Linked DNA regions of Nothobranchius furzeri. The protein of the gene in region 2 purifies or fractionates together with the protein of the main gene of each other region. This does not show direct contact. Links are inferred from orthologs where the notes say so. Each region holds a gene or a part of one and is shown on either strand. Other genes may lie near its edges. The genes, in order: nudcd3 and klhl6.

Region 1 (3,048 bases), on a different chromosome or scaffold from region 2:
GTGTCCTTGGGCAAGACACTTAACCCACCTTGCCTGCAGGTGGTGGTCGGAGGGACCGGCAGTGGCGCCAGCATTCGGCAGGCCTCGTCTTTGTCAGTGCACCAAGGGCATCCATCCGTGGCAACATCATAGCTCATCACCACTAGCGTGTGAATGACTTATTGTATTGTAAAGCACCTTGGGGGGTTGTAGAATCCTAAGAAGGTGCTATACAAATACTGGCCATTTATCATAACTCTAGACTACCCAACATTAAGCCATGTTGTTCATTCCACATGATCCTTACAATAACCTCATTAGGTTAGAAAAACAAATTTGATTTTTACTGCCTTTAAAAAAACTCTGGGGCTATAAACATATGGAAGTTGCACGCACCTTTACTAAAGAAAAGTGTATGATCTATTGATTCGTGGCTTTATTAATCACTAACAAATTTAAACTCACTGGTCTTTAAAATGCCACCATCGCAGCACAGGATGACTATTTATTATTCTGTGGTTCATAAGATTAAAACATGTTAAAATCTGGGTTTTAGTATGATGTAGTGAGAGTGGATGTGACAGGATGAGTCTTTATTCTCGTCTCAGAAGGCATCACATCATGGTCAAACACTCGTTTTGATAGAGCAGGTTTTGTTCAGACTCTAGAAAACATGATACAAAGACTCTTCATCATCAGCATGACAATAAATCACTTTTATCGTCTAACAGAATCTCGTTTCCCCAGAGTCAAAAGTCCAGTAGTAAATTTCATCTAACTGCTTTTGTATCAGCATCAATAACAAAGTAAAAAAAGAGGTTTAAATAGTTGAACAGGGTTTGTGTCTAACATGAAATAAAAAGAAAATGTCATCCACACAAACAGCAGCTGAGACTGCTTCCCTCTGATGCACGGGTCCGTTTTCTCTGCAGCCACTGTTTACTTAGACTAACGTTCAGATGTAGTTTTGGTGAATTTCAGTAACTTTGGTTGTTTTTTTTCTATAAACTGGACAGAACTAAACATTTGAATGATCATGAACACAAATAAAGAACAAATCTAACTCCAAAACACAGCAGAGTGCTTAAATAAAGAGTAAACAGTGAAGAAGCACGTTGATTCGTTAAGAACACCAAATCTGTGTGTGACATCACGGAGCCTCCCTCCCAGACTTCCTAACCCACGAACCTAAAGTTGCACCGTCCCAGATAAACGTGGACTTTCCAGCGCCGTGTTCCAGAAATAACCTCGGGTCAGTTCCCCTCAGGCTGAATTTGAGCTGCGACTCAGAACTGCACCGCACTGGGCGGGATGTCAAACATGGACGGGTCAAACTCCTGCCCTTTGAAAGGAGAGCCTTCAGCATCCCAGCCCTTCCTCAGCATCTCATGCACTTTCTGTGAACAAACATGAAAACAACTGGGTGAAATATGCACCAAACATTACAAACAAGCGTGTTTCCCCAGACTAAAGCAGTCCTTCTTTAGGTTTGTTTAACATCACCTGGGTTATTTTACCTGAGTGTTGCATTTCCACAGTATATTTTATATCAAATTCGATGTTAAAGTGTTTGTTTGTTTGTTTTGTAATTTTCAATGACAAGTGACTGGTTTAAAGTGTGTCTCCAGAGGTCTGTGTGGCCAGCAGGGGGCGATAATGGCTACAGAAAACAAGACCACCAGAGTAGTGGCAGCAAACCATAAAGAGAAGTAGAAAGATAACAACATAAAAGATGCTTAACCAGATGAATGTGTGTGTTTACATGATGAACTGGTTCCTCACCATTTCATGACTCTGAGGTTTTCCCTGCAGCTTCTGGTGGTAGTCAAATGTGAGTCTGTCCAGAACGGCGTGCTCTTCCTCATCCACCGAAGCCATCGTGCGCTCCCGGTTAATCTGGTTGATGTCAATCTCCTTCTCTCCTTTCAGAACAGCGTTCCACCAAACCTCAGAGGTCTTGTTGAGTGACAGCTGCAAGTCAGAAGCATCATATCTGTGTTGTATTTATAAAATCTCTTTGTATTAATCTGAATGACAGCTAGGGGACTCACCAGCACACAGCTCCCTGGCTCCAGACTCCACAGAGAGTTTTCAGTGTTGATCTTGTGAGTGAATTCTCCCTCCATCAATGTCCTCTCCTCTGCCCCGTCCCTCACACACACTCTCACACTACCGCTCTGCAGACTCACACTGACCTGAGGAAGGAGAGAGACACACCTGCAGTCAGCAGACAGACAATGGGAGGAGCTCTGGAGGTGGAACACTCCACGCTCACCTGTTTGCCCTTCACTACCGCTTTGGGCACAAACACTCTGACCTCCACGTCCGTGTAGTCCTGAGACCAGCTGTAGTTTTCTCTCACCGCTCCATTGTAGCTGTCGGAGTCCAGCTGAGACGTCTTCTTACTCCTGAAACATAGTTGTACGTGCTAGGAATCAAAGCTGAAATAAACTTAAAACATTCTTCTTCTTTTTTTTTTTACTGCATCCGACACTTTTTTGCCTGTTTTATAACTACAAAGATGATTTTAACTATAGTTTATGCATTTTAAGTAAACTGTGTAAAACACACCGAAGAAAATACTTCATGAATCAATCAAAGTTCCAGATCATGCTGTTTTAAATTTCTGCGAGCAAAGATAGAAACAATAAATGATCCAATATTACTGTCATTAATCTTAAATAGGAGTTATTTTTGTCAGCCTGAATTTAGAAGGAGATGATCTTTTATATAGTGCTTCTCAAGATAAAAATACCAAGGCACCTCACAAAAACAAAAAATTGAAGTATAAAAATATTTAAAAAATTTTTTTAAATCTGTTTAAAAGGAGAAAAGAACAAAAAATGTTAGGAAAGAGAGAAATCAATGGATCCCGGGAAAGGCGGAATAAAGAACAGAACAAGGAGAGGGTGATGAAGGTCACACAAAAGCCAGCCTGAACAGGTGAGTTTTCAGCTGCATTTTAAAGGAGACCACTGAGTCCACTGATCTCAGGCTCAGGGGACGAGAGTTCCAGAGTCTGGGGGCCACAGCAGCAGATGATCTGTCACCTTTGGTCTTTAGCCTGGT
Region 2 (4,280 bases):
TTGTCTATTTTTGCTCATTTTAAATATAGTTTTAAACATTTTCTAAATGCTTTTATATTTTTACATTTTTTGTTTTTGTGAAGTGCCTCGTGATTTTTATCTTGAGAGGCGTTATAGAAATGATACTTTCTTCTTCTTCTTCAAAGCTTTTTCTGTGTTTTAAAAAGAACTGAAAGATGGAATTCCTGTTCCTTTTCTTCAGATATCCTCGTCATCACCACTTTGTCAGCCATAAACCACGGATCATCTCACTGGACCACATCTCCCCGCTCAACCTGACCGACCCGCTCTCAGCTACTCACCCTGCACTCACCCTCGCTCATCTGGATTCCCCTCTCGAGCTCGACCCTCAACTCAGGCCTGACCACCCTCCTCGTCTTCCACTAATCCCCGATCAACCTCCACACTTCCACCTCACTCGGACCCCCGCCTTACCTTGACAGCGCTCCTTCAGTTACCCTTTTTCTAATAAATATTGTTTATTACTTTCATCCAGTCTCCACGTATGGTTCTGAATGTCCTGGGTCAGGAAACTAAACCAGAACATGACATGAAAAGCTCAACAAGTTACATTCAGCAGAGATTTACTTTTCTGTGAAGATGAAAAAGAAGCTGCATTATTAGGAGTTTACATTTATATCAGTAGATATTGAGTGGCTTTATTTAATTTTTGAGGAATTAGTTTTAACTGTTAAGTGAAAAAGAGGAAGAAAAATCGTGTTCAGACTCAATTTCATGACTGTAAACTATGCATGGAAAATGTAAATCGGCATCAATATCGGTATCGGTCGATGTTGGTCATTTTTTAACATATCGGTATTGGTCCAATAAATAAAACCTGGCTGATGTTAACAGATATTTTATCCATCTCATCTCCATTTGTTTGCCTGCTTCAGAGGGCGAGGGGGGTGATGTGTAATTGTTTAGTCATGTGAACAGTGAATGAAATCATCTCAGGACTGTAAATGTGTGTGGTGTGTGTGCATAACGTAAATTCAGCTTTAATAATTTTCATTTTATACAAAATCTGCTGATTTTAGAATCATTAATGTCAGTATCGGTTATCGGCCATAGCAGTGATCGTAATATCGGACATCGGTATCAAAATTTCATATCGTTGCATCACTACTGTAAACATTAAATGAACTTACAGACTGAGCTGTAAACAACATCCAGCTGTTATTTAAAGACAGATGTTTTTTTATTTTATCATTAAAAAGTGTTTTTAATTGATTCATAATGAAGAATATTTTCATGACCTCATCTAAATAGTTCATGCGCTGAGATTCACATTTGCTTTAAGGTGGTGTGTACATTTGTACTTTTGAAATCATGCTTGTTTTTATTACTTCTATTGGTCCTAAAACAAAAACCTTGTGTGTTACCTGAAAATCAGTTTCTAGTTTTAAACATCACTGATAAAATGTTCAAATTGACCAAGTTGTCAAATTTCAGAATATTTGATTGAATAAAGAAATGATTAGTTAGTTATTAGTGAGATCCTCGGGGCTTTCTTTTATATTAAAAAGGAGATGTGTGTTAGTTTTATATGCGTTGTCCCAATAATAAACAAATAGAGGAGTGTAGAAAACGCTAAAAAGTTTTTACTTCAGTTAGAAGTACTTTTGCATAATTTCTATTTACATATTTTAAGTCACATATTCAGTGAAGTTTATGATCCAACACTGACTCCTGAGAATTTAGCTTCATGACTTTCCCCAAAGGGATGTTGTCTGGATGCTGGTGTAAACCGAGATAAAAGGCTCTAAAATAAAACGCTGAGTTCCTTCTTGTTGATTAAGAAACAGCACAGCTGTTCATCTTCAGGATCCAACAAACAAACATCTCTGCAGAAACAGAAGCTCAAGCAGACGAACACCTGACTCGTCCGTTGTGTGTCACAGCTGTAAGTTAGGCCTCTATGGAAAACTGATCCTGAGTGTAAACAACTAGCCGTCTTTCACTTCCCTCTTAGAGTAATTTACTTCCACATCGCTGCATGTTTGTTCCTCTAAATAGATTAAAAATAAATGTGAAGTGAAAAAATATTAAATAAAAAAAGTTTAATTCAAATTCATGAGAAAAGTTTAACTTTTGTGATTTAGCTGCAGATGGATGATTATGATAAGTTTAATTCTATCAGTCTGACTGGAAATAACACAACTGTTTGCTAAAACAACGTTTTCAGTTTTCTGGATGCTAAACGAGAAAAGATTAGTGTGGAAAAAGTGCTCAGAGTAGACAGGAAACTCTGCAAAGTTCAGCAAAGTAAACGTGTGTGAGGTTTTCGGCTGTTTTACCTGAAACTGATTGGCGGCCTCGAGAATTTTCTGGACGTTTGAGTGTGTGAGGAGCGCTCGGCTGGTGTACGTGTACTCCAAGAGAGAGTGCATCGTCCCGCTGTCCAACCCTTTCATCTCCACACGCTTCTCATGGCTTTCCCTTAGGCCGCTGCAGAACATGGCCCTGTAAGGAAATGTATCATTAAAATATAAAAAGCAGATAAATTCCAACACAGTGGTAAAAAGTGGGAATGTTTACCTGAAATATTGACTGGCGGCAGCGAGAATGGCTCTGTGGCAGGGGAAGTCGTGTCCCTGAACACTCAGGGTCACGTCGGTCAGCTCTCCGTTCACTCTCATGGTCTCCATCCCTCTCTGCAGCTCCACTGGTAGACCGCCATCCTGCCAGCAAAGCTCGCCGGCGCCTGTTGCATTTTCCTTCTCCTCACTCAGACCGGACTCATCTCCGAGAGACGACAAGGGACAGTCTGTTGTCCTCTCCAGCGAGTCACTCATGTTTACAAAAACTAGTTCACAAGCTTAGTTTCCACTGGAGGAAAGCAGGCCGCTGCTTCAGACGCACCTGCAGCGGCACCGAGACAGAAAACAACTCTGTGGTTCACACTCACAGCAGATCTGAGGCTTTGAAATGAGGATTTGTTTTTTTCCCTCGTCATACTTCCTATTCCTGTTCTGAGGACTATGCTTAACTGAAGCAATGCTTGTTTCTTAACACTTCCTCCTCTTGTGCTGAGTGAATTTCCCCTAAGTTAACACTATTTTCCTCTTTTCTGAGAAACGCTGATGCCATGTCTCCTGCAGCAGACCTCAGCTAAGTGAGATAGCAGTAAACACAACCACTTGACAGCGTAACCCAGACGGAATGGATGCGTTTTATCTCGCGTTGTTAACAACCTCTTTTGTTCAAGTGTAACTTCACTATGTTCAAAGCTGAGAAGCAGGCTGACTCGCTGGAGGCAAACTGTTTACTCCTCTAGGTGATCTCCTGATGTTGAACATTTGAGCAAAAATCTCAGTTCTTTAAAGTTATTTTGACCTGTCGGTTCAGAGCTGGGCTGCCTGTGTCTGTGTGGAGCAGGTTTAAGGTTCAGGTTCTCTGAAATAGTGTCAGTTTGATGGATTTATCCATCAAAATGGTGACATTGTATCTAAAACTGTGTAGTCCATTGCACTTTGTTATGATATTTTCCACAAAACTGCTAAAATGTCATGGTAAGATGACTTTTTTGTGATTTTTATGTAAGATTATTTTAAATAAAAGGTGCAAAATAGAATAAAAATTTGTATTAGTATTTTAAGTCTTGGCTGTATTTTAAAGCTGCTATAGCAAATTTAGAAAACTAATAGGTTAAAATATTTTTCATGCCTTTTACCAACATCCTAACATAGTATAGCTATAAATATATTGTGGAGATTAAAAATAAAACAAAAAAAGAATAAAGTGGTTCTCTCTCTAAAAACCTCAATAACACGTTTCGAACCAAAAGCAACTATTGGACCATCCGGTTGTCAGTCTTGTAAAACTACCCTGGGTCCTCCATTCATCACACACTCACGTATTTAGCAGCAGAACACCACTGGCGTGAGAAGTTCTCTGCTCAGTCATATCAGAGAAGGAGAAACAGCCGGCTGCTACCACTTCAACTTTAGGACAAGCTACCAGAGTCCCAAAAAATAAAACACCATTTTAAGCCATAAACAACAAAAGAGGTTTGGACCAAGAAAACTGCGTCTGGTGTTTAGCACTGCGTCGTTTCGTCTGGCATCGTGGGTTTCTGGTTCTGGCAAAGGCGTTTCAGCGAAGATGTGTTCAAAGCCTAGCCAGATTTAAATTCTGCAATTATAATTTCAGTAGCTGCACAATTAAAACAAATAAAAAAGATCAACATTTTAAAATATGCTACTTCACTCATAGGTGGAGATAAATGTCTTGTATATATCTAAATTAATCCATGTTATGACCTGGCTCGTTGGGCT

The links.
Region 1: the proteins of klhl6 (region 2) and nudcd3 purify together in Homo sapiens (affinity purification with mass spectrometry; 3 studies listed by BioGRID and IntAct, counting the BioPlex papers as one, with this or other methods). This does not show direct contact. The link is inferred for Nothobranchius furzeri from reciprocal best matches to the Homo sapiens genes KLHL6 and NUDCD3.

The regions. Positions count from the first base shown.
Region 1 is NC_091746.1:39,657,525-39,660,572, reverse strand, and holds the end of nudcd3 (nudC domain-containing protein 3), read right to left. Parts: intron 2,388-3,048; coding exon 2,255-2,387; intron 2,175-2,254; coding exon 2,031-2,174; intron 1,951-2,030; coding exon 1,762-1,950; intron 1,377-1,761; coding exon 1,266-1,376; 3' UTR 558-1,265; downstream 1-557.
Region 2 is NC_091754.1:23,547,325-23,551,604, forward strand, and holds the start of klhl6 (kelch-like protein 6), read right to left. Parts: upstream 2,972-4,280; 5' UTR 2,799-2,971; coding exon 2,542-2,798; intron 2,467-2,541; coding exon 2,301-2,466; intron 1-2,300. UniProt on the Homo sapiens protein: Involved in B-lymphocyte antigen receptor signaling and germinal center formation.